Caenorhabditis elegans: one gene and its partners. The protein of the gene in region 1 purifies or fractionates together with the protein of each later gene. This does not show direct contact. Each region holds a gene or a part of one and is shown on either strand. Other genes may lie near its edges. The genes, in order: tyms-1, rnh-2 and mam-3.

Region 1 (10,204 bases):
ATAATGAAAATGTTTAAATAAATTTAAAAATGTTGATTGAATTGCGATTCTTTTTCTCGTCGTTTCAACTGTTGAAAAGTCGGTTTGAGAGAATATTCTCGCTTCCGTGTGTCACGTATATTTTCTCAGGACTTTCTTTTTATTGGAGAGAGAGAGGAGGCGCCAAAGAAGATAAGACACCCGCGAACTCGAGTGTAAGAAGAAACAAGGGAGGAGAAGAGAGAAAGAAAGGGATGGTTGAACACAGAAAATGAATTGTTGGTTATTTTTCTTTTCGTTTTCGGTTTCCTACTTTATTGTTATGGAAGATTGTGTCTACTTTCTTCCCATTCATAACACGAACCTTCTTTCTTTCTTTCTCTCTATCATTGCCTGTTTTTCTTTCTCTCCGGCGCAATAATATTATTATTGATTTCTTAATATTTGATTAAAATGATAAGCCTTTGTCTTCGGAATCATTTTGATAAGAGACGATATCATTTCGGCTAGAAATGTTGCAGGAGAACGAGATGCCTGGGCCAGCCGGCGTACCGCAGCGCAAAATGACGTATTTCGTGCCGAAGAGTGGTCAGTTTACTTTAAAAGAGGACTTACCATTTTTTTTTGCTCTTTTAGACTCGAAATGTGCCCAAATGAGCGAAATTTAAAAAGATAGTTTATTTCACATAATTTCAATTAAAATTGATTTCCGTCCGTTTCGACATGGAAAATTTGGCAAAATTGAAGATTTTAGCTAAAATCAAATAGCCCATTTTTTTTCGAAATTTTGAGCCGTTTTGGACGCATTTTGAGTTGAAAAAGTGCATAAAATTGATCGATTAGCCCTATTTTATTTTCATTCCACATTGTCTTCTCAAAAATCTCAATTTTCAGACAACTCAAACGAGCAGGTTCGAGTTCCAAACGTCATCGCACTTGTCGGACTGCCGGCACGTGGCAAAACATACATCTCACACAAACTGTGTCGTTACCTCAACTGGATTGGAATTAAGACCAAAGGTTGGTCCTGATTCGATTATATGTACGACATGAAACAAAAAATCAAAATTACAGCATTCAATGTCGGCGAGTACAGAAGAAGAGCGTGTAATTTGGAAGAAGAAGGCGAAAATGAGTTCTTCTCGCCAAACAACGCCAGAGGTCAAAAGATCCGAGAGTGAGATTTTACGAAACTATGAAGAAAAAAAATTAAAAAAATTCCTGAATTTTCAGTGAGTGCGCGAAATTAGCCATTGAAGATATGGGAAGGTACTTGGATAACAAGGAAGGAGAAGTGGCGGTGAGTTACAAAGGAAAAAATTTCAAAAAAATATATAGACATAAACTTTTTATTCAGATTCTCGACGCGACAAATACTACAAGAGACCGACGAAAGCTTCTGATGGAGTTTTGCAGAAATATGATGCACGAGCCACCATTCCGTGTCTTCTTTGTGGAATCTGTTTGTGATGATCCTGATATTATCAACTCGAATATCACGGTAACCTTTAGATCTTCAAAATAATCACCTTAACCCGCATATTTTCAGGAAGTGAAAATCAATTCGCCAGATTATAAAGGAATAATGTCTCAAGAGGAAGCAAAAGAAGACTTTTTGAAGCGTATCGAGAACTATCGAATGCAATATGAGCCACTTGATGAGGATCATGATGAAGAGCTGAGCTATATCAAAGTTATCAATGCCGGAAAATCCTTCTATGTTCACAATGTTAATGGTCATGTGCAGAGTCGTGTTGTGTATTTCCTGATGAATATTCATCTTCTTCCAAGAAGTATTTATTTGTCAAGAGTAAGTTTAACAAAAAAACCGAAAAAATTTTGCGCTAAAAATAGGTAACAGGTCTCGACGCGAAAATTTTTATTAAATGCCAAAAAGTGTGCGTCTTTACAAACTACTGTAGTTTCATTTTTTTTGCTGCCGAGTTTTCATTGAGTTTCAGTTTTCTCACGATTTGCTGTAAAAACGTTTTTATTTTTTATTTCACTTTTTGATAAATTAATATTTTTTTACCAAACAAGCTAAGAGAGCCCGTAAAAAAACTTGAATTTTAACAAATCGTGAAAAAAAAAGAAAATCAATGAAAATTCCGCAGCAACGAGAGTTTGAAATTACAGTATTCTTTAAAGGTGATGCCTTTTTTCATTTAACAAAAATGTCGTGTCAAGACCGGACACCGGTTTTTTTGGCACAAAATTCCGTTTCTGGGATATAATTCATTCAATTAACAGCACTGAGAATTATCAAGTATTTTTAAACTTTTATAGTTTAAAAATCCCTTTAAAAAATTTATTACAGCATGGAGAAAGTGAGTACAACAGAATTGGTCGTCTTGGTGGTGATTCCCCACTCAGTGAAAATGGTTTAAATTACGCTGGAAAACTTCGCGAATACTTCGAAAAAGAAGATTTGGACGATTTCCGTGTTTGGTCATCTCAAAAGATTCGTGCCGCCCAGACAGCTTCTCATCTGAAAGATCTCGCTGGTCATACAGAGTTCTGGAAATGTCTTGATGAAATCGATGCCGGAATATGTGAAGGATTAACTTATGAAGATTTCGAGGCTCGTTATCCGAAACAATTCGCTGAAAGAGATAAGGATAAATATCACTACCGTTATCCAAGTGGGGAATCATATGAAGATCTGGTTGCTCGTCTGGAGCCAGTTATCATGGAGCTTGAGAGACAATCCAATGTCCTTGTCATTTCTCATCAAGCAGTTCTCCGTTGCATTCTTGCCTATTTTACTAACAAAAATCGAGATGATCTTCCATATCTGAAGGTTCCATTGCATACAGTCATCAAGCTCACACCAAAAGCCTATTCCTGTGAGATTGAACTTTTCAAATTCGACATCGAAGCAGTCAATACTTACAGAGAGAAGCCACAATAGGAAGTATTTATTCTTTATCTAGCCAATTATCTATGCCAAATGTACATTTATTTTTTCATACAAGTTCCCATTTTTATGTCGGGCGTTTTTTTTGAGATTGCATTTTCCCTGTTTTTGAACAATTGCCTTTGAATTTAAATACGTTGTCGTTTATGTGAGAGTTATAAAGATTACATCGATTTCAATTTTATGGACTGATTGCAATATTTCTCGCTGTGTCATTTTCTACAATAATCTATTTTTAATGTATTAAACGGTCAGGAGCCACATTAAAAATTTAAAAGAAAACCAAACAAGAACGCGTAACTGAGTTGTTGTTATTTTAAAAGAAAAATCAATTCATATAAAAATTAATCCTTAAAGGCGCAGAGATTTATTCAGATGGGTCCCGACGCGCAAAAAAGTTTATGGTAATTGTGTTTGAATTTTTGCGGCTGCTTCCTCGTTTATTTTTCTTGCATTTTTCAATTTATTAAGGGAATTTTGTCGTTGTTTAAAACCATTGTATGAAAAAAACACAGGAAATCCCACATTTTTAATGGAAGTAGTTTATTTGTACTTTGAAAACTGATTTTAAACATATTCTGACAGAAAAGTGAAAAGAAAACGACATCTGAATAAATCCATGCGGTTTTAAAAAGGATTGCCAAAATATTGTGAAGTTACGATAAAAACAAAGCTGAAGCAAGTTGTATTTATTTTCTGCACATACCTGCGTCTCTTAGTGGCCTTCTTCTCTCTCTCTCTCTCTCTTTCCCAATAATCGTTCCACTATTCGGCTTTCAAACATTCTCATACACTTTCAAAAATCAATTTACAGGAAAATTGATCGAAATGTCAATATCAATGGATGACAGAGGGAACAATAGTGGAGAAGTTGGAGAATGTGAGTCATCACGAACTATTTCGTTATGAAATTTCGTTATTTGAATTCAATTTATTTTATCATTTCAGTTGCCAGTTCATCAATGATACAAGAATCAATAGATCTCAAATTGTTAGCCGCAGAAAGTCTTATTTGGACAGGTTGGAATTGATTTTTTAACAATTATAATGTGAGGAATTACAGAGAAAAATGTGACATACTTCGGACCACTTGGAAAATTTCCAGGTAAAATCGTAATTACTAGGTATCGAATGGTTTTTCTCGTTGGTGATGGTGGAAAAATGTATGAGGTTTGTGATTAAAATTTTAAAATTATATTTTACAAATATAAACAAAAAATTTCAGCAATGGAAGCTCGATATTCCACTCGGACAAGTGTCTCGGATAGAAAAAGTTGGTAGAAAGACGACGAGTGTTGCCAAACGAGGCGATGATAATTATGGATTCACAATTTATTGTAAAGATTATCGAGTTTATCGATTTACATGTAATCCAGCATCGAGTGATAGAAAAAATGTTTGCGATTCGTTGAATAGATACGCTTTTCCGCTATCGCATAATTTGGTGAGTTTTTTTTTTAATTTTAATAGGGGGCTTTTGGCTCTAGAACTATTGGAAATGAAAAAAAATTCTGATATTTTTTTTTAATTTACGAAAAAATAAAATTAATTATTCATTTATTGGTTAGCAAAAAAATTAAAGTTAAAAAAACACGGTATCGTAATTTCACAAGTTTTCGCCTTAGAAAGCCGCACGGATTTCTTCAAATGGGTCTCGGCACGCAAAAAGTTTATTGTGTAGATTTTAAACAATCAATGATTTATTAAAAACTTACTTGACAACCAAGAAATAGACAGCCTAACTTGAAAAACAACATTATTCAACCAAAAAAGGAAATTTTCAGCCAATGTTCGCCTCTGTACATGCAGCAGAAACACCTAGACTTATGAAAGATGGTTGGAAAATTTATTCAGCTGAAAAAGAATATGAACGCCTTGGAATCCCGAATTCACGTCTTTGGAAAGAAGTGGACATTAATAAAGACTATAAATTTAGCGAAACTTATCCAAGAACTGTAGGTTAATGATGGTTTTCTTTTTTAAAAATAATTTTATTTCAGTTTGTAATTCCGACAGTATCTTGGGAGGAAGGAAAACCATTTGTAAAGAAGCTCGGCGAGTTTAGAAGCAAAGAAAGAATTCCCGTGTTGAGTTGGATTAATCAGACAACTTTAGCTTCAATTTCACGATGCTCACAGCCAATGACTGGAATTTCTGGAAAAAGAAGTGCTGAGGACGAGCGGTAGGTTTTATTTTTATTTTTAATGATAATAAAAAATAATCGGAATATTAATATTCTAATATGCTGAAATGTCACAAAAGAAAAACGAAAAAAAATATTTGGAAAATCGTTTATTAAGATATATTTTTTAAAGCATTCAATTTTTCAACAAAAAATTATATTTTTCAGACATCTCACGAACATTATGAATGCCAATGCTAATTGTCGTGAACTTCTGATCCTTGATGCAAGACCAGCAGTCAATGCAAAACTTAATAAGGCAAAAGGTGGAGGTTATGAAGAGAATTATGTCAATGCTCCTCTAACATTCCTCAATATTCACAATATTCACGTTGTTCGGGATTCATTAAAACGATTGCTAGCCGCGCTGATTCCACGTGTCGACGAGAAGGGATACTACAAAGCGTTAGACGAATCGAAATGGCTCAATCATGTTCAGAGCATTTTGGAAGGAGCAGTAAAAGCTGTCTTCAATGTTGACACTGAAAAACAATCAGTATTGATTCATTGTTCTGATGGTTGGGATCGAACTGCACAGCTGACGTCGTTGGCAATGATTCAACTCGACTCCTATTACCGTACAATTGAAGGATTTATCGTTTTGATTGAGAAGGAATGGTGTAGCTTTGGTCATAAATTTGGAGAGAGAATCGGTTCGTTTTTGATAGATTTTAAAAATCATGCAATTAAAGTTGCAGTAGCGTGAATGAGGATTTTGCTTTTTTTAAAAATCCATTCAGAAAATTTTTAAAAAAATCAAAAAAATTGCGAAAAAAAATCCAACTTAAAAAACTAGATTTTTCAGTTCTGGCGAAGTTCCCAGTTCTCATCTTGGGGAAAATTCAAACAGGAAACTTACTAGGGAACACGATAACTATAAGTTATACTTATAGTTATCGTGTTCCCTAGTTAGTCAAAATTGATAAATCGAATTTTTTAAAATTTGAATTTTTCATCCGTTCGCAATTTTATTTCGTTTTTCTGTTGTGGTATTTCTGAATTTGAGAAAAATTTGGAATTTTTTGAAGCTAACAACTATAAAAAATATTATTTGAGAACCAAAAATCTTTGATTTTATACTTTCCGTTCAGGTCACGGCGACGATAACTACAGCGATGGAGAACGATCTCCCGTATTTGTTCAATTCTGTGACTGCCTATGGCAAATTATGCGACAATTTCCATGGGCATTTGAATTTACACAAGAACTGCTAATTTGTATGCTCGATGAGCTCTACGCTTGCAGATATGGAACATTTTTGTACAATTCCGAAAAAATCCGGCTGAAGGATAAGGTTGTTTTCATGAAGATTTTTTCAATTTTTTTTTTTTCAACTTTTCAGAAATGCGATGAAACGACGATATCGTTCTGGTCCTATGTTTTGGAAAATAAAAAGAAATTCAGAAATCCAATGTTTAAGCATGGAAGTTAGTTTTCTGTTAAACTAATATTAAATCTCAAAATTTTAACTTTCAGAATCCAATAAAGTGATAAACGTAAACCCATCTCTCTGCGGTTTACATGTATGGATTGATTACTACGCCCGATCGAATCCATATGTAGTTACTCCAAATCATGAGGTAAACAGCAGTTCCGCTAGAAAATGATAATGAATTAATTAGAAGTTTTAGGATGTTCAACAGCCAGGCGCACAGTTTGTCGACGAGAAAAAGCAATTGTTGGATGAGATTATGGCTCTTGACGACGCTGCTCAAAAATTGACCGCCTAGTTATTTTAATTATGCTCAGTTATTCAATTTTGTTGTTAGACTTTTAAAAATTTAATTTAGAACTTTTCACTGTGATTTCATTTTGCTTTCTTTATGTGCATTGTACAATATTATATGAAAATAATTCATCTTTAAATATTATTTAATTAAATACAACAGCTGTTAAAATTAAATACAACAGCATAATAAAGAATAGACTGTTAACAGTCTATTCTTTATTATTCAAATTCAAATTTGCCGCCATTATCGTTGCTGACGTTTTTCCAGGGAGCGCGCGAAACACATGCAATTTTCAAATAGGAAAAACAATTGATCCAGTATTTTTCCTTCCTTGCTTTGATTTTATTGCTTCAGACTTATTATTCCGATCTTAAAAGTCAAATTAATTGATTAAATTCTTTAAAAAAGTAATTCATTTTCAGATGGAAGTCATGAACAAAGAAAATATCATCGCCGATGCGCCTTCTGATGTCGTAAAAACCGTTCAACAGCAAGTTCACTTGAATCAAGATGAATATAAATATTTGAAGCAAGTTGAGCAAATTTTGAGAGAAGGAACACGAAGAGATGATCGCACTGGGACTGGAACTATTTCGATTTTTGGAATGCAATCGAAATACTGTTTGAGAAATGGTAACGCTTTCGATTTTCCATTTTAAAAATTAATACTTTTATAGGCACAATTCCGTTGCTTACCACGAAACGTGTCTATTGGAAGGGAGTTCTCGAGGAATTACTTTGGTTTATTTCTGGATCGACCGATGGAAAGCTTTTGATGGAGAAAAATGTGAAGATTTGGGAGAAAAACGGCGATCGCGCGTTCCTTGACAATCTCGGATTTACGTCTCGTGAAGAAGGAGATCTTGGACCAGTTTATGGATTTCAATGGAGACACTTTGGGGCGAAATATGTGGATTGTCATACAGATTACTCTGGACAAGGTGTTGATCAGTTGGCTGAAGTTATCCGACAGATTAAGGAGCAACCGGATAGTCGAAGAATCATTATGTCCGCGTGGAATCCGTCGGATCTTGGACAAATGGTTCTGCCACCGTGTCACACAATGTGTCAGTTCTATGTGGACAATGGAGAGCTCTCGTGTCAGCTTTACCAACGAAGTGGAGATATGGTGAGCAAAAATTTCAATGTAGTAAATTACATATTTTACTAGAAGTTAAATTTCAGGGTCTCGGAGTTCCATTCAACCTTGCCAGCTACGGCCTTCTCACCCACATGATTGCAAAAGTGTGTGGATTGAAACCAGGAACCCTTGTTCATACTCTCGGAGATGCTCATGTCTACTCAAATCATGTGGATGCTCTCAAAATTCAACTGGACCGTGAGCCATACGCTTTCCCCAAAATTCGATTCACGCGAGACGTGGCCTCAATCGATGATTTCACTTCTGATATGATTGCCCTGGATGACTACAAGTGTCATCCAAAAATCCCAATGGATATGGCTGTTTGATTTATTTTGATGTAACATTTTAACACTCATCTAATTGTTTTCAGTTTTATGAAAATAAACATTGCAAGGCTTCTATATACACTACGCATATCAAAAACATTACAATAGAATTTTTCCACATTATTCAAGAGAAAAAAAAACTTGTCAATAGGTTAGAGCCCCAACAGGAAATCGAATCAGTCATATTTTTTTCTATATGCGTGTTGTTTCTTTCGCTCTCCCACTCCTTCTTTTTCAATTTCATCTTCCATCTACAAAACCGATTTGTTCAATCATCTTTTCGCTCATCATAACCGAGCCAACTCACAGCTCATCCATCAACTATTTGTGCTGTCCTGCCAATGTCTGTCAGTTTGTCAGGTGTCCAAGTGCTAAAATTTGTCCTTGTGGTTTTGAAGAATGTTGTGAAAAAAAGTCGAATTTAATGAATCACACAACTTTGCGAGTGATACAAGTTTTTCGTTGACCGTATACCCGGCGCGTGTTTTCTCAAAAACAAGTGGTCCAACTTTTTGTAAAGTCAGATGACAGTGACAACAGAATATTCTAATATTTTTTGGACCAAAGTATTTTTTCCTTTCTTTGGCCGTGTACATAAGACAACCTCGTCTACCGTACTCTCCAAGTAGACTACAGTACTCGCGACTGCGCCTTTACAGCTTTTTTCATGTGAACCTACTGATTTTTAAAACGAAGTTCTTTTATACAATGATCGAAATTTCCTATGCGGACGCGGCCTAGATTTGAATTTCGAAATTCAAGTGAATTTTGCTGTCTCCAAAAATTCAAAAAGAGTCGAGTAAAAGGAGGAGGGGAACAATGAAAAGAAGCCAAAAATGAACAAAAAAGTGAAAAAGAGGGGGGGAGAGGGAGACATTCTGTCTCCTGGAAAAGATCGAGCGTCCCTCTTTTCTTTTCTTTTCTCAAAGTCATTTTCAAGAGAGGAAGAAGAGCTCTTTTCTCGTATTCTCTCAATATTTCACAAACTATGCGTCGTTTCTCCTGTGCTCCTCAGTCATCCTTGGAGCACACAACGGGGGGCTCAACTCTTCTCGGCACCACCGGAGCGGGGACTAGAGAGGGAGAGAGACATGGGGACTATGATAAAAAAGAGTCAGAGAGAGAGATGGAGAGAAACTCGGGAAACGAGAGATTCAGTCAACAATCAACATGGAGAGAAAGACGGAGAGAAAGAGATGGAACGTAAAGCAAGGGACCCACACAACTATGCAAGAAGGAGAAGAAGAAAGAAGTACTTCAATATTCCGTCTTCTCTCTATCTTGCTGCGTTTCTTTGTTTATCTCAAACACTAACACCCTCTCTCGTTTTTTTCCATTCCTTGTTTTGACTAATTAAGTTGTTTTTTTAATTCTGATCCGCATTTGCAGTGCAGAAGTCTGCAAAACTTTTTTTGAAACCCTTAGCTTATAGGTTTTGTAGTTGCAAAGTTGCAGAGGATCTACCTACCTAACTGGTTTTGTTCATAGAGATACTCTCGATTTTCAATATTAATTATGAGAATTTAGTTTATAGTTTTGGAAGTCGACCAAACATTTTTGGAACCAATTCTTAATTGGCAAAACTACGATGAAAAATTACAAGAAAAACTGCTAAGAAATTCTTGAGTAATTTTCTTTTTTCAAACTTTATAAAAAAACAAAAAAAATAAAAAAGTGAAGTTGTTTCAGTGGATATTTTATTGGAATATTCTTATGAATGTTCAACATGACCAAATATCGTAATAAAACACTCCAACTTTTGCTGAAAAAAATTTTAAAAATTTCAGCCAAATTTTTGTATGAAACTCATAGAACAATTTTGGTTGATTTCCACAATTATAATAGGTCAAAACGGAAAAATATAGTTTGAATATATATTGAAAAATAATTTTTAGAATTACTGAAAAGGTATACTGATATTTAGCC
Region 2 (9,977 bases), on another chromosome or scaffold:
ACCTTCAAGTTTTCTTTTTGAAAAAAAAAGTTATTAAAATTGAGAATTTGTTTGGTTTTTGAAGTTGGAGAATCATAAATTGAATCTGTTTTTATGAATCCCAATTGTATAAGCTATATTTGATTAGAGGTTCAAATATTTCCTCCATCTTGGAATACCCTCCAGCAATTATTATTGAAGATTCATTTGACATTGGTTATAGAACCCTAGCTTGGAAAAAAGTCTAACAGAAGATTGTAATAGTCTTGCAGGTACTCAGCACTTTTATTTTTTAGGTTCAGTCAATTTTGCAAAATTGAAAAGTTCAGAACTTTAACCGGAAGTTGAAATAGATGAGAGGCGAAAGGTGTGAAGAACTTTGTGAAGATATTGAAGAACCAGCAAGTGTGTGTGCTCAGGCTCCGTCTCTATCTGTTCTTGTCACATTTATCTTTCAAAAAGTACCTCTTTCCGTGTGTTTTTTTCGATCATAATCGATTTATCAAAGCAGAAGATCAAGGATTTCTCTATGGATTGATAGACAAACTTATAATTCACTGAGTTATTCCCTGATAAACCTAGGTGAAAAAAATTTTCAGGATTGTTATGCAAATAAAGTCAAATACCCAATAGCTTTAAATTATTAAAATTTTTTGAATGGTAAGTACAAACAAAATTATAATTGTTGAACATGAAACAGAGGAATAGCGAAAAAAAAAATTCAAAACCCGAAGTCGTTCATCAGAATACGAGATCTTTCTGCGCCTTTGCACAAGGAGTCCATTTTAGGTTTTTTTGGTGAGGGAGTTCGTTTTTTTAATTCTGTGACGTAGGGGGGTTAGTGAGATATTTTCAAAAAGCACAATATATTGTCTAGGGACCTTGTTTCGAATATCAAGAAATATTGGAAAAAAGTGTAAATTGAGTGGCACTACACGGCAGAAGTTACAACCAGTGAAGACATCCAGAATTGAGCACAAATTTATTATCTGCTTATGGAAAAACTTCTGAAAAAAATTATCTATATACATATTACGTGAACAAAACTCAATGATAAAACTGACTTGGAGCTCAATGGCGATTTTTTCTTGTGTGAGTTTCGAATTAAAAAGCTGCCAATAAAACTTAACGAAGATTTGGAACTTAACTTCTGTATTTTAATTTCTTTTCACATATTGAATTTTTTACTAGTTTTCAGCCAGTTTTCATTTCTCGTTTTCCAATACAAGCCAGTTTGAAATGAGTCATCACATTCGGAATGTTCAATATCACCTGCTCTCTGGTTAAACTTGACAACAAGAGTATTTCTAAATTCAGTAAGTCAACAACATTCTGTTAACTCGATGAACAATATAAAGGAGGGCTAATTTCATTTTTATTGCCACACAAAGGATGACCTCGAAAAACTTTCCGCAAATCTTGCAGAAAGTCATTTGAATGACCATTAATTTTGAAAATTGCGTTCTTTGTTTTCTTGGTTTCCCGAAACAGTTATTATAACGGTTTGAATGTCTTATTTATCTGTAGTCTAACTTCAGAGCAAGTAACTGGTCCTGTTGGCGTACTTACCGGCCGAAACCTGCCTTGAAAGCTGGCTTGTTTTGCAATAAAGAAGGCTTTCCGGGTCAAGTCGCTTTCTTATCAATGATTAGACAATTTCGGTTTTTCAGTTTTCAGAACAGGCGGAATTGTTTCTCTGATTAATCTTTATGTTTTTTTTAAGTCGGTTTATTCAAATTCTCAACTTCAAGTTTACATCTATTTCTGTCTTTTGTGCTTTATCCCACTTCACACAAATTATCAAGACGAGCCTGTTAGACTAGACTAATTGTCCGGGAAAAATAAACGGAAAGAAACAAAGTCTCATGTGTGTATTTGTGTTCAGCAGGAGGGAATAGATTCGTAGTGAAAGGAGAGTGCAGGCAAAGACAGTATTTGCTCCTTTCCGCCACAACACCCGACAGTCCTTTGCTTCCCGAAGAGAATCGATCGGAGAATTACTAGAGTCTCATGTTTTTCGTTTAAATTGTGTTTTATAAACGCAAAATTTTGATTTTTTGTAAATTTCCAAAGTAAGGAATTTTCCCTGTTGATGTGATCGTTGTTTCGCTTATATTTAGCGAAAAAAAATACTGTGGAATAATATGGCAGATTCTCCATGCATCACTTGTTTTTGAAATGCATAGAATTAACCTAAAACTCTGAATTTTCCAACTTATCTCAAAATTGATAGAAATAGTCAGGAATTTTGGTTGTATAGTTGTTTTTTGGTAGTAAATTTCCTTTCCGTATTGTTATCTTTCAAAATTACAGAAAATTAAATTATCAAAAATCAAACAGCTTAATTTTAAAGAAGATCAGTCCAAATGCTGATCATTAAATAAAATGTAAAATTGTTACTTCCAAGACAATTTGGAGCAGTTTATGATAATTTTGAAGAAAATGTAGATGTTGAAATTATAATATAGTGAAATATAAAACATCTGATATCCTCGTGTTTTCAATGTCCCATCTTAATTATCAATTTTGATTTAAAAAATTATTGGCTTAAATTTCAGAAACAAAGTGACAAATTTCCAAAAAAAAGGTTTCGAAACATGTTCATAACTTATTCTCCGTCTCTTCCAGGCATACTTTCCTCTCTTATCGTTACTATAATATTATTCTTTCTCTCCCCCTCATTCTCTCTCGAAACATTTCTCTTTGGTAGGTGGAGACCGCCCGTTCTCAAATGGCTTCTTTTTGTCTATGTCTCTCTTTATCCTGTAATATTCAAATTTTGGTTGTCAAGGATTCTCCATTTTGAAGAATAAGCCGATTTTCTATTCGGATTTCAAAAAAAAGTTTGGTTTTCTTTTTTCTTTTTTCTTTTTTCTTTTTTGTTTTTCGTGAAACGGGGCCGAGCAAAGGCTAACTATGCATTTTAAGAAGACATTTCAACGAATAAAATTTATTTGAAAATTTAAATGGGATTATTCTCTCGAATGAAATCCAAGGAAAATGATGGTAAATTGCTTTCCATTTTTATTTTGATAATTGTACTATGTCCTTCATCATCAGTTTTTCGTCGTACAAGTTATCAATTATATGGAAAACTGTACGATGCCAACTAAAAACAAATGGTGGCATTTTTTTGATAAATGTTTTTCTTCAAATGCTTAGTATAAGTTTACCGTTGACTTTGTAACACTTTTTAAAAAGTTAATAATTAAAAAAAGATCAATGCAGAAGGACTCCAGCTAAACTACAACATTTTAGATTTTCATAAACCCGTTTTGGCAAACTGCCAAAATTTTGAACAATTTTGACTTGTTGAGAAATTAAGAGATTAAGCATTGTTGCAAGTTCAAAAATTAATACATAATTTTAGTAAAAAAAAAGTGCACATGTGCAAAAATTAATTTAAAAATGCGAGCTCAACTTATATATATATATATACAAAATTCTAGTTTCAAAATTTTGAGATTTGAAATGTACCTTTGATTCTCAAAAATAAAATTGGAATTTTAGTTTCAAATTAATGAAGATGAAGTCTTTCAAAATAGTGCATAGTTTATCTGCAGAGAATGAAAACATTATACTTTTAGTAGTTTTTTCACTGAAACATCTTATCACCAAATGAATTGTGTGCTCATTTAGTACACACAACGATTTTTTCGTGAAACTGTGCATTATGCTCTGTGTCAATTGATTCTTCTTAAAATGAAATCAAACGGCTAAAAATGTAGTCATGTGTTATTCGATATTTGTATCCTCTTTGATTTTCGATAAAGTTCGGTTCGCCCCGGGCGCCGTGATAAAATTTGTCATTTTACATATTCTCATTGATAACAATTATATATTTCTAACTTTTTATTATTCTCTCACACCAGCTTCTAGCAAAAAAAATGAAATTGACCAAAAAACGATTGTCAGGTGAAAGGATGTCTACAAGTACTGGAGAAATTACTGAAAGTGATCGTAAGCTTCTCGATGAACTCAGAAAAAGGATTCATAAAGAATTAGAATTAGTGAAAGAATATGATGATGATTTTTCACTTATGAGATGGTTAATCGGATGGGATCGAAAAATTGGTAAGACTTTTTGGAATATTGTTTAAACTGTAAATGTTTTTTTTATGAATTTTATGATGGTTTTGAAATATTTCGAAAAAATTGTAAAATGAAATAGATATATTTTCAGATGTTGTGGTTCCAAAAATCAAGTTCTCACTTCGTGCCATTCATGCACTTGGACTTGACCAAGAAGATCTCTCAACACTGGAAAAAGTGGCACAAAAATGTGATGATTGTAGTGTTCCACTTCGATACCTTCCTGGATCTTTAATCGGATTGGATCATGAGAATAATGTGGTCTCTCTTCAAATGATTGGACATCTTGACGCAGCCGGTCTCATGCCAGCCACAAGAAATTCGGATTTATACAGAATGAGAATTGCTGAAAGTGAAGGAGTCATGCAAATTATCAGGTATGCGTAGTTCAAGATAACGTCACTCTAGTCTGTGTGGCAAAAGTGATTGGAATACTGTTTACTCTGTGACTTATATGATAGCGGAAGAGAAAAATTGAAAAATAGAACACTGATATCGAATACCCGAAAATTATATTTTGTCCAGAGATTAAGAAACATTAGTTGCGAAATAAGATGTAGACTACTGTAATAATAATGAAAAATTAGAACTTATACTTTCAGAAAAATGGAAAAAGAGCAAGGAAAACCATTGGGAACATCTGTCATTTTCGATCTTGACGGACTTTCAATGGTTCAAATTGATTTGGCTGCTTTGAAGGTTGTGACTACCATGCTCTCGCAGCTTCAGGTACATTTTCCAGATTAGTCGTATTAAAAATTGAATTGTTTAATTTCAGGAGATGTTTCCTGATGTAATTCGTAAGATATTTATTGTTAATACACCAACATTTATTCAAGTACTCTGGAGTATGATCTCGCCATGTCTTGCCAAGCAAACTCAACAGAAAGTCAAGATTTTGGGAAACGATTGGAAACAACATTTGAAGGAGAATATTGGAGAAGAAGTGCTATTTGAAAGATGGGGTGGAACTAGAAAGGCTGAAACTGAATATGGAAATGTTCGAATGGGTGGCAAGATTCCTGCTGAATTGAAGTAATTTTGCAGAGGAAAATTTATTTGAAAAATAATCCTGTTTTTTAGGTATGACCCGGCCAACGATCTTCCAGCTGAGAAGCTTACCAAACTCAACGTTTCTGCTCGTTCGACAACATTTGTTCCCATTACTCTCGAAGGAAATGTACCAGGAAGAAAACTTTATTGGTGGTGGAGGCTGGAGAATAACGATATCAATTTCTCGATTCTTCGAGCAGCAGAAGGTGAAGAGAAAGTTGCAGAGCATGACGATGACTACATGGTGCATCCAAAATTCAAACTTCAAACAGACTTCGTTCCGGAAGATGGAGAAGTGTGTGCTGCGGAGCCTGGAGTATATAAATTCGTATTTGATAATACTCATAGCAAATTAAGATCTAAAACTGTCAAATATTTTATTGAGGTGCGGAATCCTTGAGGAACCGGTACACACTAGAAAATCGTATTTATTGTAATGTATACTTTCATAACCTATTAAAACGTTTATTTTATCCATCAGCTTATTTGTTGTATTTGCTTTTTAATTTCTGATTTTTCAAAATCATTCGAACGACGTCATAAAGTGCTAGTGATAGCTAATTATACGTTTGAAAGTTTTTCTGTGCATATAAATATGTGGGGTACAGTAATATTGTCCAAGTGTTGTTCGCGACCGAATTTTCCTAGTTATTGTCAATAGAGCGTATCTGCATACCATAAAGAAAAAGCTCGGCCGCATCACAATTTGAATTTTATTTCCACGATTTTTATTTATTTTATGTCATTATTCACTTCAATGTCTTTTTTTCTTGAATTAACCTTCAAAATGTATTATATGAATAGATATTTATTTTTTTTACAATATTTGTTCTCTCAGAGAATGTCACTGAAGTGTGAAACTGAACGAAGCAAAACGTGGAACAATTTCGGGAATGGTATTCCGTGCGTTTTGGGCATTGATGAAGCTGGAAGAGGTTTGTGGAAAATAATAGTCAATAATTGATAATTCAGTAATCTAATATATCCAAATTTTAGGTCCAGTGCTCGGTCCTATGGTCTACGCAGCAGCGATTTCCCCACTTGATCAAAATGTAGAGTTGAAAAATCTTGGTGTCGACGATTCAAAAGCGTTGAACGAGGCGAAACGTGAAGAAATCTTCAACAAGATGAATGAAGACGAAGACATCCAACAGATCATAGCATATGCTCTCAGATGTCTTTCCCCTGAATTGATCAGTTGCTCAATGCTCAAAAGACAAAAGTATTCGTTGAATGAAGTATCCCATGAAGCTGCGATCACTTTGATTCGAGATGCGCTAGCTTGCAATGTGAATGTAGTGGAGGTTTCCTGAAAATATATACAAGCTAAATATAAGGTATACTATTTTTCAGATCAAAGTGGACACAGTTGGCCCGAAAGCAACTTATCAAGCCAAACTCGAGAAATTATTTCCCGGAATTTCAATTTGCGTGACTGAAAAAGCTGATTCACTTTTTCCTATCGTCAGTGCAGCTTCCATTGCCGCCAAAGTCACGAGAGACTCGCGTTTGAGAAATTGGCAATTTAGAGAGAAAAATATTAAAGTTCCAGATGCTGGATATGGAAGTGGATATCCTGGAGGTCTTTTTATTTTATGAATAGTATATTTTATTATTTTTCTTTCAGATCCAAACACAAAGAAGTTCCTTCAATTAAGTGTGGAACCAGTTTTCGGCTTCTGCTCACTCGTTCGATCATCCTGGAAAACAGCCAGTACTATCGTTGAGAAGAGATGTGTTCCAGGCAGTTGGGAAGATGACGAGGAAGAAGGGAAATCACAAAGCAAAAGAATGACTTCATGGATGGTTCCGAAAAATGAAACAGAAGTTGTACCAAAAAGAAATGTGTACTTCAAGGAAAGACATATGAGCAATATTCTAACTTTTTGAATTATAACGAAATACTTACATTTTTCAATATCACCATTCATTTTTATTTTACCATTTTCTTTAACGCGTTTCTGATCTCCTCATATCTCCCTCTAAATATTTCATCACTTTGGTTGTATACCTCAATTTACTTGTAGTATATTCATTTTCTCTTACTTTTTCTGGTGAACTTTTCTTAGATACTCATTGAATAAATTTTGAAATTCTCCGATTTGTATTTAATGAAAGTATCATGAAATTCCGTTTTCACCGGATATTAATATTTGGATGAATCTCTCAAAAATTCTTTCAAAAAGTGATTTTTCCAGATGGAGATAAACCTGACAAAAATTGTGAGCACACTGTTCCTCAGTTTCATGTTCTACAACTTTTTTCAACTTTATAAGCTTTTCACTCCGGAGTTATGTACAGATCAGGATTCTGACGAATTGTGCTATTCGGTAAATTTTTCGATTGAGGCAAAACTATAATAACATTTTATAGCCAATTGTTCAACCCAACCACGAAGGATTGTACGATTTACTACAGCTTCGAGTCTATTTTTCAACGAAAAGAGATGCATTGGAGACACTTATCACGACTGTTGAAAACTTGCAAGTTGCCGATGCCTTCCAGAAAGATGTAATTTTCTAAAATATAGAATAACCTCATTTTATATTTTATTTTCAGCTTCAAGTGAAGATTCCGTCTTCGGTTGCTAAAGATGGCTACCTATATGCACATACAATTTTACTTCCACATAAATTTGATGGTCGTAATCCGATGCAAGCTTCATGGAAAGTGCACGTAGCGGCTCCTATGGTAGTTTTTCAAGAGCCAGTGGCCAAGACTTTCCAACTCTTAGGAGATGAAGAAGTCAAAGAAAAAGTCGATGAAAAACCGAAAAAGTCCAAGTCAAAAGTTGTTGAACTGGCCGCACATTTCCGAACAATTCTGCCGGTACGAATTGTATCTGAACCGAACCGATACGTAAAGACCAAAGTCAGTGGAGAATTGGCGTAAGTTCAATAAATATTTTATGAAAATATATGTTCGTTTTCAGTGACTTTCTGACGATTCAACGGCAGGATAAAAAAGAAGGATACCTTCCAATCATGTTTGTGGATGAAATGAGTATGAGAAGCAAGCATCTCTATGAACTCGCCGACTTCCAAAAGTCTGTAAACTTGACCATTAACTACGAACCAACAAGCGTTGCCAAGCTGCTTCTGCTCACCTCAACAGCTCGTTCGACCCACCAGCTCATGAAACATGGATTTAAAGATAAGGATGTTGATGAGCTTCGTGGACTTTTCACTGAAACCTCAATTGTTCTTTTGATGGTTACTTTCTTCGTATCTACATTACATTTGCTATTTGATGCATTAGCTTTCAAAAATGATATTTCATTTTGGAAGGGAAGAAAATCAATGGTCGGACTATCTACAAAGTATGAATAGCACATGTTTCCATTTTATGATTATTTTTCAGAACTCTCCTATGGCGATGCTTCTCTCAAACAATAATTTTCTTCTATCTTTTCGATCAACAAACATCATTACTTGTTCTGATTCCTGCTGGAATTGCTACAGTAATCGAATACTGGAAAGTCACCATAGCCTACAAAGTTACAATAACTTGGAAAGGAATCAAATTCGGAAAACACTCAACAGAAGAAGACGAAACTGATTCCATCGACTCGCAAGCCATGAAGTACCTGTCGATTCTTTTAGTTCCACTTGTTATTGGTGGAGCTATCTATAGCTTACTTTACGTTCCTCATAAATCATGGCGATCATGGATTCTGGAAACATCTGCTAATGGAGTTTATGCTTTTGGCTTCTTGTTTATGTTACCACAATTGTTTGTCAATTACAAGTTAAAGAGTGTGGCACATCTTCCATGGAGAGCTTTCATGTACAAGGTAACTTAAAATTACAAAATATTCATATCGAGATCTATCTAATTTACAGGCATTCAATACGTTTATTGATGACTTGTTTGCATTTGTCATAACCATGCCAACTGCTCATCGTATGGCCTGCTTCAGGTAAGAAACTTTCAGAGAGGAAGATATTATAATAATTTTGTATCAGAGACGATATTGTGTTCCTTGTATATCTCTACCAAAGATGGCTGTATCCAGTTGATTACACCAGAATCAACGAATTCGGAGAAGGTGGTGATGAGAAAGAAAAGAAAAACAAAGAGAAGCTGGAGCCTGAAGTTGAAGAGAAGAGCAATACCACAGAACAAGATGAATCGGGAACCATCAAGCGGAGAACTGCTAGAAAAACCTAAAATAGTCTCAGATTTTAAAGTATTAAAACCATCTAGACTTTAACTGTAACCGTAACTTATACAGTCTTTTTAAAACCAAAATTTCTACAAACTTGTTTTTATTTTAATAATTATAATGTGTTTATTTATTTGTTTGCCATTACTGGTTCAATTTGTTGTTCGTGTGATTTCTGCTGAATTGGAAGCCTCGCTTCCCTCAATAAACGAAGTAGATCATGATTCTCGCGGGACAACCAATAAGAAAGAGCCGTCCTTTTTCGTAAATGGACACGAAACGGACTTGTTTGAAGGCGCATTGCTTTTTGCTTTTCACACCTTATTTGAGCGCGTGTAAATACAAGAAATGTGAGAAATAGTGTGAGAACTTGTATAAACGCAGGAATACAGTGTAGAGATTGAAAAGCTCCTTGAGAAATGGAACTTGACTTCATTTTTGTCCGCGTAGCCAATGAGATTCGTGATGTGGATGTGGCTGTTCGTTGTGTGGATTACTGTACTTTTTGGAGGTATGCAAATTTATCGAACTTCCAGATATTTGCAGATTTATTATAAACTTCATTTCGAAGTTTAGATAAAAATTGGTAACAAATTAAAACAGTTATGTATATTTCATACTTATTTTGGTATTAACGGGTTGTCGGAGTCTTCATCGTAGCCAATAATGTAATAGCAAATGGTAGAAA
Region 3 (10,301 bases), on another chromosome or scaffold:
AAATTTTAGAATTTCTAATTACGGAATTTGGGACAAATAAAGTACTTAAATCTCTAATTTCGGTACTACTTACCCTTTAAAATTAAAATTTTTTTTTCAGATTCTTACCGAATCAATAATCGTCGTGGCTGAAGCTATTCGTGGAAACTACACAAATCAAGAATTATTCGCGAATACTGTACTTGACAACGGAGAAGATGTTCCACGTACCTCTCTTGTGGTTCTTCTCATCTCAATGACCGCCGAAAAACAGCCGTACAAGCTGCGATGCGCTGTATTCTACTGCTTTTTGTCATATCTTTTTGACAATGAATTCGGAAAAGCAAGAGTAATTGAGACGTTGCTTCCTCAATCTCATAACAGCTCGAGCTCTTTGACTACTGGAGCTCTCATTTTACAAGCAATTTCTTCGGCTGAATCTGTTCAGGCATGGTTCGGATGTGTGACTCTTATGCATTGTCTGTATGATGTTGATCATTTGAGGTGAACACGTATATCTTTTAAAAAGTCGAATTCTCAAAAAAAAATGTTCAAACATTTCCTAATGGCATGTCACATTTAGTGGTTTTCTACGCGTTTTTATGAGAATCTATTATTTAAATACATTTTCAGTCGATAGGTCCAAATTCGGACTGAAAATATACTCAAAGGAAATCTGAGAAATATTTTTAAATGACTTCAAATTTTCTCCTAATTCCGAATATCTATATGAAAAAATTCGAAAAAATTTCTCTTATTTTATATTTCAGCGTGAAATCGCGATTTTCATTTGCGTCCCCATGAGATTCTTCAAAAAGGCCGAATTTTCGAGTCAGAGACGCCGTGTGTCGATTTACGAGATTTGTGTATATTTACGAGAGTTTCAATTTTTATTGGATGCTGATTTCCGTTTTACAACCGGGTTTCCTTCATTTTCGTCGGTTTTAGTTTTTTTTTTGTTGAAAATGTGTTTTTTGAGGTTAATTAAACGTTATATAATCAAAAAACTAACAACATTTTTGATTTTCAGTCAGGAAAAGCATATATTTGGATTTTCCGTCGAGTTGTTACCAGCATTGGAAATTTTGTTAGTATTTTGATAATATATGTTTAATTGACTTTGGAAAACACATTTTCAAAAAAAAACTGGCAAAACTAAAGGAAACTCGTCGAAAAACCTGAAATCATTATCCAATAAAGATTGAAAATCTGGTAAATCGACACATGACGTCTCTGGCGCCAAAATTCGGCGTTTGAAAAGTCTCATTTAGGCGCAATTGAAAATCACGCTTTCAAGCTGAAATATAAAATCAGGGAAATTTTTTTGGAATTGTTCATTCAAATATTCGGAATCAGCGGAAATTTGAAGTAATTTAAAAATATTTTTGAGATTTCGGTACTGCACCTTTAAATTCATAAAAAAAATTAACTATAAGAATTGAATTTCCCAACAAAAAAAATTCACCGTTGTTTTTTTCAGCGAGCAACTTCTTCGAGTAAACCTCACCGTAGTCACAGAGGATCCTCCATTGACACTTTTAAATCATGTCTGCCAACTACTTGTTTCTACTGGAAATCGCCGACCACAGACCAGAGCCGGACTCCTGATGCTCCTGGGAACGTGGCTTCAAAATTGCCCAGCCGCAGTTTCCGATTTTATGGCTAAAGACGAGCATATACAGTATTTGACAACTAATTTAGGTGGGAACGGTTATTCAATTTTAAATAATTTTCAAAAGTTTAAGTGGATGAATGTGGTGAAGGATCGGAGAGTGAGCAGCAGGTTCTACGAGGACTCATGGCTTTTGTTCTACTATCGTGCTTGAAGAATTTACAAAGTAAGGAAGCACGATCATCGATGGAAATATTGATTCAAAGACGTGTTGGAAAGGAATTGATTCTGTCCGCATTGGAGGGACTTTCAAGAACCGAGCAATTTGTTAGAGCAGCACAAAAGCAGCAGCCGACAAATGAGCTTTTCCTCGATTTCCACTTTGTTAAACTTTTCAAATCTCTCGAAGGAACGTTGGCTAAGCAATTGAAACCGAATGGAGAATTTAATGGAACTAGCAATGATAGCATCATTCAATCATATAAAGAACTCATAAAACGGCAAGATGGTGATATTGCCCAATTGAAGCAAGACAATAAGCGAATGAGTCTTGAGATTGAGAAATTAAATGCAGAAGTTCAGAATAAGCAAATGGAACGAGAAGTTGAGAATCTTCGTGTGAGATTAGAAGAATCTGAAGCATTTAAAACTCAAAATGAAGTGCTGAATAGTCAGCTAGTAGAGTCACAGAGACTCACACAACAATGGTATGCAGAAGCCGAACGATACAAGCAATGGGCTCAACAATGGCAAGCCTATCAGTTGGCACAGCTTCCGAATGGTGTAGAGACGGGATTGGCTCAGCTTCAGCAACAAGTCAACGAGTTGGAGCAGCAACTCGGATTTGGATATCAGGCATTCGAACAGCAATCACAAACGGTATGGTAGACAGGAGATTTTATCAGAAAATCGAAAAATCGAAAATTTTCGTTTTTTCGAAAAAAAAATTTGTCGATTTTTCAAAAATTAGCTTAAAATTTTGGTCAGGGTTCTTCTTTTTTTGATGAAAATATTTATTTTTTTTCTCATCAATAAAACAAAAATTTGATTTTGTAAAATCATATTTTGTGGTTAATTTTCGGAAATTTTTTTCGATTTTCCGGAAAATCGAAAAATCGAAAAATGACACAATTGGATCAAAAAACTAAACATTTAAATCTGCGAAAATCAAAAAAAACCAAAAAACAATTCGATGCTTAAATTTATTCGAAAAATTTTTTTTCGGCTTCCGTTTGGTCTAAAATAAAAAAAATAACCAAAAAAAAATAAAATAACCATAAAAATAAAATTTACATATTTCAGATGCTCCACTATACATCAGAGAATGCAAATCTTAAAGATAGACTCGCGAAAACGGAAGCTGCTCTCGCTGAAGCCAATTATAAAATTGAGCAATTGAATTTGAAGCCAATTTCGAATGGAATAGTTGTGGAGCACGAACCACAGGTAGAATTCGAGTGGAATTTTCGAAATTTCAGGAATTTCTAGAAAAAACACTGAAAAAGTATAATTTTATTGGAAAAGATGGAAAATCTTACCAAAATTATCGATTTTTTCATTAAAAAATCGAAAAAATGTGTAAAATTTCAGTTTTTCGAAACCTTGATTTTTTAACAGATTTCTTTTTTTTAAGAAGGAAAAAATATATATATATATAAAAATAGTTATATATTTGAGGTTAATTTGAGCAAAACTTGATAAAATTTCAATTTTTTTTTTGAAAAAAGCTGAAAAAATAATAAAAAATTCTAAAAATATCAAACACTTAAAATATAATTTTTCTATGAAAAAATTAATTATTTCGTTTTTCAAAAAACTACTTTTAAATTTTGGTTCGATTTTTTCTGAAGAAATTATTTTTTGCTACAGATTTTTCATCCACTTTTTCATTTTTTTTTCAATTTTCTCTGGAAAAAAACTAAAATAAAAACGTTTCGATGAGTAGCTTTTGAGCTTTATCTCAGTGAAAATAATTCAAACATTTCAAATTTTCAGGCTGACTCCGAAGAGTTTTCAAAACTGAAACAAGAACAAGAAGAACTTCTGATGCTTCTCGCTGATCAACACAATAAAATGTCAGCCTACCGACGCCTTCTTCGAAACCTAAAACAGCCAGTGACAGATGATGAGGACGAGTAATAAGGCTGTGGGATTACTAAAAATCGGGTTTCTTTTTTGTTTTCTTTGGGGGGTCAATCTTGTCATAGAACATGTAATACTTCCAATCAACTTTTCTTTTTTTAAATCGAATAGGTTTCCTGTATAATATTTAATTTATAACGCATACACCGTACTTTCGCAGGATTTTTTAAGTGTCTTCTTAAAGGCGCACAGGTTTTTTTCAGATATGTTTCGGCTTTCTTGTTTTTTTTTCTCAAACTGATTTAAAACAATTTTTAACTTATGTGATAAATGCAAAGAAAATAAACAAAATTAAATACCATAAAAATTTTTTTGGGCTCGCCGAGACCCATAAAACCGTGCGCCTTTAAGAAGACATCTCAGAGATCTTGTAAATCTACGATATCGTATTCGCCGTGATTTTGCTGGCAAAATATTTTCTTCCTGTTTTTTTTGTATCCCTACCTACTCTTTCCATTTCGTTCAAACCACACTGTCTTCTGTGATACCGAAATTATGTTTTTTTTTTCCTTTCAATTTTATTTATGTAAAACTTAATAGTAAATATGGTCCAAATAAATTATTGATTGATTCCGAAATCCATCATTCTCTCTCTCAGGTTGAATGGGGATTCGGTGAATGATCAAATGATATAACGAACCCGTCTATTCTCCATATCAATAGTGATTCGGAAGCCGGTTCGTTCCTCTCGCCTGCTTCTCCTGGCCCGCGCATCTGCCATTGTTCTTCGCCTGTACACACCCTTTTTGCCTCTCGAAAATAATGATCTGGAAGAAATTTGCACTTTTGCTCATTTTTCTACCATCTCTAGAAGCATGTCATGCTCAATTTCAAAAAGAGCTTCGATATTTAGACTTGTATCTTGGTATTAGGCCAGATAATAATGGAGAGATTCCTGTGGAAGGTTGGTTTTTTGGTTTTTTGAAGGAATTTACTGTTTTTTGCTCCGAACGAAAAAAGTCTAAATTTTCGATTTTTTGGAAAAATTCAATTTTTTTTCAATAATTTATGGCCACATCCCGATTTTTTAAAAATGTTTTTTTCAACATTTTCCAGTTTTTTTTGGATTTACTCTGAATTTTGACGAGATTTTTTTTTCCAAAAATTTAAGCTTTATCGGAAATTTACTTGATTTTGTAGTTCCTTATTAAAGGCGCACGGAATTAAAAGTTCGCGGTAGTTTAATTTTTATTTAAACTTTGAAAACTGATTGTCAACGATTTATTACAGCTGAAAACCATGTGATTTCATTGAAAAAAAATACAATACTACATCCAATGAACAAATAAAACTACCATAAACTTTTTTGCGCGCCGAGGCCCGTCTGAATAATTCCGTGAGCTTTTAATGAAGTACTTCAAAATCTACAGTAGTACAGTAGTAGTAAAATTACGGTATTTTATCCAGATTTCGCTAATATTTCGCTAATTTCTGTAACAAAAGTATGTAACAACAATAAATCAGCCGATTTTTACTTTCATAAAAAATCTGGTTTTAGATTCGTTCTTAAAAATTAGTGATAAATAAGCAATTTTAATGTGAAGTGTTTTTTTGTTTTTAAACAGCTAAAATTATCAAACCACGAGGATCTGCAAAAAAAAACCACAATCACGTGGATTTCAGAGGCCGTTGGATTTGCCACGTATATTGAGTCACCTGATGAACTCAACTGTGACTTTGAGACCGAATGTCTTTGGAGAAATGCGCCGACTGATAAGCTTTTGGATACCAGTGATTGGTGGTATTTTAAGGTTTGTTATTCATGAAAAACTTTCCTTCAAATGTCTTGTGCCATTCTATTCTTTTTTTGGAATATAAAACCTTTTCTGAGTGGGTCTTGTCACGATCTCAGTTATAGATTTCGCTGAATACAAACTTTGAATGTGGTATAATTGTTCAATTAGAAATAAAAATGTATGTGAAATTCCATATCCTACGCTATATGTAGGCCAGGGTATAATATACAATATTTAGCTTTCAGTTTTGAGACGAATAATATGTAAAAGATACCAACTAATTTTGGCAACTAATTGGTTTTATGAACTAGTTTTAACTGAAAGTTTCAAAAAAAAAACATTTCAAAAACTCGATTGAAAGTGGCAACATTTCGAGAATTTATTCAGACAATTCAATTATACAGTTCAACTTTAGAACCATTGGAAAGTTCACCAAAAATTATAGAAAAAATTTGGAACGCTTCACGAATTTGCGTGTCATCCTTGCGCAGGGGCCATGCTAATCTTCTCTGTATTGTTCCAATTTTAGTATATGTTCTCGGAAGAACGAACAGTTAGATTTACATTTCAATTATATAGGGACCATTTACACAGCAGCTGACATATTTGGAGTTATGTAAGACACTATGACTATGCTAGGGAAGTGGAGATGCAAATCGATATTGGTATCGCTATAGAATAGGTGCACAAATTATTGATCTACATCTACATTTGGTATAGTGTCTTACATAACTCCAAATATGCCAGCTGCATTGTTAATGGTCCCTATATAATTGAAATGTAAATCTAAATGTTTGTTCTTCCGAGAACATATACTAAAATTGGAACAATACAGAGAAGATTAGCATGGCCCCTGCGCAAGGATGACACGCAAATTCGTGAAGCGTTCCAAATTTTTTGACGATTTTGTTAGACAAATCTATAAATTCTATACTTACAATTTTTCAAAACTTTTTTAAAAAATTAAACAATTTCAGAAAAATGACGAGAAAACTTTCCCAGTTCAAATCCAGCCCGGAAATCCTGTAATTCCAAAAGGCGAACATTTTATAATTGCTGGAAATACGACGAAAAATCCGAATGGAGCAGTGTTGAGCAGTGCTCCAATTGCTTGTCAAAAAGGATTTGCCAACTTGACTTTCAGGTATTGTCAAAGATAATTTTAAGAATTTTAAGCACAAAGTTGGAGGGCCTAAATTTTTTTTGAAATAAAATGTGTTTGCTCTTCTTTGAAAGCTTAGATCTCTACTGTCTTTGCATTTTTTTTAATATGTAAAAAACGAACTAAGCGTTCTTCTATGATTCAATAGTTTGAAAAATGCTGATATAAAAAAAAAAAATCGAAATTTTTAGTAATCTTTATATGACGCACAATTTCTCGTTTTTACTACAAAAATATTGCTATTTAATATTTTCATATTAGATTTGAGTTGCCTGAGTAAAAGCTCACAAAGTATGCGATCGGCAAAATACTGTGCTCTAACTAACATAGATTCCAAAATAAAATTATAATCCCAGTTATATCCTTCTAGCTTCTGGCTATACAACAATGCTCAAGTGGAAGTTATCATCCTTCGAGCAATGAATCGTAGACGTCATCTTCAAGTCTTGCTCAGACCAAAAATGAAGTGTGATTTCTTGGGAGCCGCCAATGAGGAATGTCGTGTCGAGATTCCGCCGATTAAGGAACCGTTCAGAATTGGAATTCGAGCATTTGATCTCAAAGATAATACTGTTGGAAGTTTGGCAATCATTGATCATATCAGATATCACGGAAAGATTTGCCAGCAATCACGTAAGTTTTAAAGTTATTCGAGATATGAAGCAGTCAAAATCAAATTGGCGCGCAAAAAAAACGATATTTTTAATCCTTTTTTAAAAGATTTTGTTCTGTAAATTTTTCAAAATAAAACTAGATTTGTTAGAGAAGTTTTAAACTTTCACTGAACATCCAGAAAAATCCAATGCCTCACTCTTCATAATCTAACAAAATATCTCAATCACTCCCATTTTACCTAAAATTAATTATTCCAGCATTCCCATCATCATTCTCATCTCTTCGTATTCCTCCATATGATAATAGTCCACTTCAAAGAATGTCTGATTTGAGTTGTGAACGCCCGCTACGATCCTGTCGATGGGGAAATATGGCCAAATCTCAATTAAGTGAATGGAGAGTTGGTAGATCAATTGATCGATGGGTTGATATGTTTGAGGTTTGTTTTAATTAAATCTTGGAAATAAGATAATTTTTTAAACAACATTTTGAAGCATTGATATCTTCAAGCGAAATATGGGATCGAACCACTAAAGTTAATTACCGTATTTCCTCTATTATGGGGTTATTCAAGTAGTGTCGGAAAATTAAAAAGTGTAGAAAAATTACGTCACACATGTATTCAAGTAAATAAAAACATGTATTTAAATACATTTGTGACGTCACAAATGTATTTAAATACATTTCGCTACATTACTTGAATAACCCCATTAGTACTTCACCCCATTGTTCAACTTTCACAGCTTATATCTCAGTCATCGTTTGTCCTATTAAAAAATTGTCAACTAACAAAATATTTTTTAACTTTATTTCTATCATTTCGTAGTTAATAATACATTGATATCTTCAAAATGAACCGAGTTCAAAGTTAAGTAGTGGGGTGCAATACTAATAGAGGGAATACGGTAAAAACAAATTTTCGTCAGTATGTCAATAATTTAAAACCCATCCAAAGTGCAGAAAAGTGATGAAAAATGAGTTGTATGAAGCATTAGACAGGTATTCATCTCTATGAAGTGGCCTTTTTAACTGTTTGTTAAAAAATAATTGGGCAATCCACACGTTTTGAAAATTTCAACAGCTGAATACTCTCGGCCGACAAACTTTCTTCATACGTTCTTGGAATATTTCCAAAACTTCTACTAATAAAACTTTTGACTTCTTCTATTTAAATGTTTTGCAACAATATAGGCTTATTTGGCAGCTTCAGAAGTTTCAATCCGGAGACTTGCCAAAGTTGGCTGAAACAATGAACTCAAAAAATTTGGAATTTTGAAATTAAGAAGGATTATAAAAATTGTTCTATGTATAAATACACCTTTTCTTGAAACTTAATAATGGGGTTATTCAAGTAGTGTCGGAAAATTAAAAAGTGTAGAAAAATTACACGTCACAACCTTATTCAAGTATATAAAAACATGTATTTAAATACATTTTGCTACATTACTTGAATAACCCCATAAGTTGATGATAAAAATGGGCATCAAACAGGGATATCTAGTAAAATCGTCAAAAAATTTGGAACGCTTCACGAATTTGCGTGTCATCCTTGCGCAGGGGCCATGCTAATCTTCTCTGTATTGTTCCAATTTTAGTATATGTTCTCGGAAGAACAAACATCTAGATTTACATTTCAATTATATAGGGACCATTTACACAGCAGCTGACATATTTGGAGTTATGTAAGACACTATGACTATGCTAGGGAAGTGGAGATGCAAATCGATATTGGTATCGCTATAGCATAGGTGCACAAATTATTGATCTACGTCTCCATTTGGTATAGTGTCTTACAGGACTCTCAATATGTCAGCTGCATGGTAAATGGTCCCTATATAATTGAAATGTAAATCTAAATGTTTGTTCTTCCGAGAACATATACTAAAATTGGAACAATACAGAGAAGATTAGCATGGCCCCTGCGCAAGGATGACACGCAAATTCGTGAAGCGTTCCAAATTTTTTCAATAATATTTCATAAATCTAGCTGAACATATACATTGCTTCTTTCAGATAACAGCCAACCAATCCCATCCAAACTCTTCCTTCCTTTTCTTGGCAGTTGATTCATTTTCTCCCCGTCCATATTCTACTTTAACCAGTCAAGTTATTCCATGCTCTCAGAGAACCACAAGCCTATCTTTAAAGTGTGTAATTGAGTAATTGACTGCTCTTTCAAAGAGTTATTCTACAATTTTCCAGATATTGGATGAAAACTGGAACTCAAGCAGAGATATGTGCAGTTGATGAGGATGGAATTGCATTGAGTTGTGCATATCTTGAACCAAATGATAGTCCTGGACCAATCACAATTGATTTGGATTCTTATGCTCAACCATTTAAGTTTACTGTTGGGATCATTGCATTCGATGAAAGCTCATTTGGGTTATTGGCTATTTCGGAACTTCGAGTTGGTGGACTTCTTTGCACGGAACCTGCTCCTCCGATTGTCACCACAATTAGCCCGCCAGTTGTAAGTTATTTTAGGATAAAACACTTTTTTAACGACACATTCAAAATAAATAAATTCCAGATCCAACATATATTTGGTCTCCAACCTGGAAACGGTCGTTACGTCCCTTATGACTTATCACTAAACTGTGACTTTACCAAAGACTACTGTAATCAGTGGGTCAACTACGATGGAGTTGTCAAGTATGGAGTTATGCCAAGAGATTCAAATGTGTTCCCAGTTCCTAAAGGAGTCAAAGGAAATGTGGCAGTGTTTTTAATGCAAAATGCAACTGTGTCAAATTTGAGATCGAGAATGGTTCCATGCTCATATAATGGGCGAATTGATGTCGAGTATATGAGGTGAGTTTGGGTAGGCAGGCGTGCCTTCATACCTACCTACCGCTTATTTTCTTAATAGTAGCCTGACTTCAAATATTATAGTTGGAGTTAGTAGCTTACTAGTTAGCTTTGTAGTAGAAATCCGTTGTTTGAAAGTTTGGTCCTTGGCAGTAGGCATGTGTGTAGGTACAGAACTGGCGCCTACCGAGGGCCAAACTTTATGTTGCCTATTTGAATCTTGTGTTAGAAAATCAGTTTAAGA

Evidence for each region.
Region 2: the proteins of tyms-1 (region 1) and rnh-2 fractionate together in Caenorhabditis elegans (co-fractionation; one large-scale study listed by BioGRID). This does not show direct contact.
Region 3: the proteins of tyms-1 (region 1) and mam-3 fractionate together in Caenorhabditis elegans (co-fractionation; one large-scale study listed by BioGRID). This does not show direct contact.

Annotation. Positions count from the first base shown.
Region 1 is NC_003279.8:5,131,031-5,141,234, forward strand, and holds tyms-1 (Thymidylate synthase), read left to right. Parts: upstream 1-7,219; 5' UTR 7,220-7,239; coding exon 7,240-7,441; intron 7,442-7,485; coding exon 7,486-7,937; intron 7,938-7,993; coding exon 7,994-8,278; 3' UTR 8,279-8,352; downstream 8,353-10,204. Other genes in the region: Y110A7A.7 (Fungal lipase-type domain-containing protein), read left to right, coding at 1-17; pfkb-1.1 (6-phosphofructo-2-kinase domain-containing protein), read left to right, coding at 510-567, 874-999, 1,054-1,156, 1,213-1,279, 1,337-1,480, 1,529-1,789, 2,297-2,890; Phosphatidylinositol-3,5-bisphosphate 3-phosphatase mtm-1, read left to right, coding at 3,737-3,776, 3,845-3,916, 3,960-4,066, 4,122-4,340, 4,681-4,851, 4,897-5,078, 5,247-5,731, 6,170-6,372 and 3 more.
Region 2 is NC_003280.10:8,511,188-8,521,164, forward strand, and holds rnh-2 (Ribonuclease H2 subunit A), read left to right. Parts: upstream 1-5,962; 5' UTR 5,963-5,965; coding exon 5,966-6,059; intron 6,060-6,120; coding exon 6,121-6,428; intron 6,429-6,477; coding exon 6,478-6,706; intron 6,707-6,751; coding exon 6,752-7,014; 3' UTR 7,015-7,220; downstream 7,221-9,977. Other genes in the region: ctg-2 (CRAL-TRIO domain-containing protein), read left to right, coding at 3,867-4,053, 4,163-4,448, 4,674-4,800, 4,850-5,106, 5,155-5,524; T13H5.8 (Lipid scramblase CLPTM1L), read left to right, coding at 7,323-7,454, 7,498-7,635, 7,684-8,012, 8,057-8,443, 8,485-8,917, 8,967-9,043, 9,090-9,294; cht-2 (GH18 domain-containing protein), read left to right, coding at 9,743-9,800. UniProt on the Caenorhabditis elegans protein: Catalytic subunit of RNase HII, an endonuclease that specifically degrades the RNA of RNA:DNA hybrids. Participates in DNA replication, possibly by mediating the removal of lagging-strand Okazaki fragment RNA primers during DNA replication.
Region 3 is NC_003282.8:13,439,461-13,449,761, reverse strand, and holds the start of mam-3 (MAM domain-containing protein), read left to right. Parts: upstream 1-4,386; 5' UTR 4,387-4,495; coding exon 4,496-4,637; intron 4,638-5,356; coding exon 5,357-5,484; intron 5,485-5,915; exon of another isoform or gene 5,916-6,017; intron 6,018-6,260; exon of another isoform or gene 6,261-6,378; intron 6,379-6,446; coding exon 6,447-6,613; intron 6,614-7,001; coding exon 7,002-7,264; intron 7,265-7,503; coding exon 7,504-7,685; intron 7,686-8,758; exon of another isoform or gene 8,759-8,860; intron 8,861-9,103; exon of another isoform or gene 9,104-9,216; intron 9,217-9,259; coding exon 9,260-9,393; intron 9,394-9,448; coding exon 9,449-9,719; intron 9,720-9,779; coding exon 9,780-10,060; intron 10,061-10,301. Other genes in the region: uso-1 (Uso1_p115_head domain-containing protein), read left to right, coding at 101-483, 1,460-1,680, 1,725-2,470, 2,894-3,037, 3,587-3,730.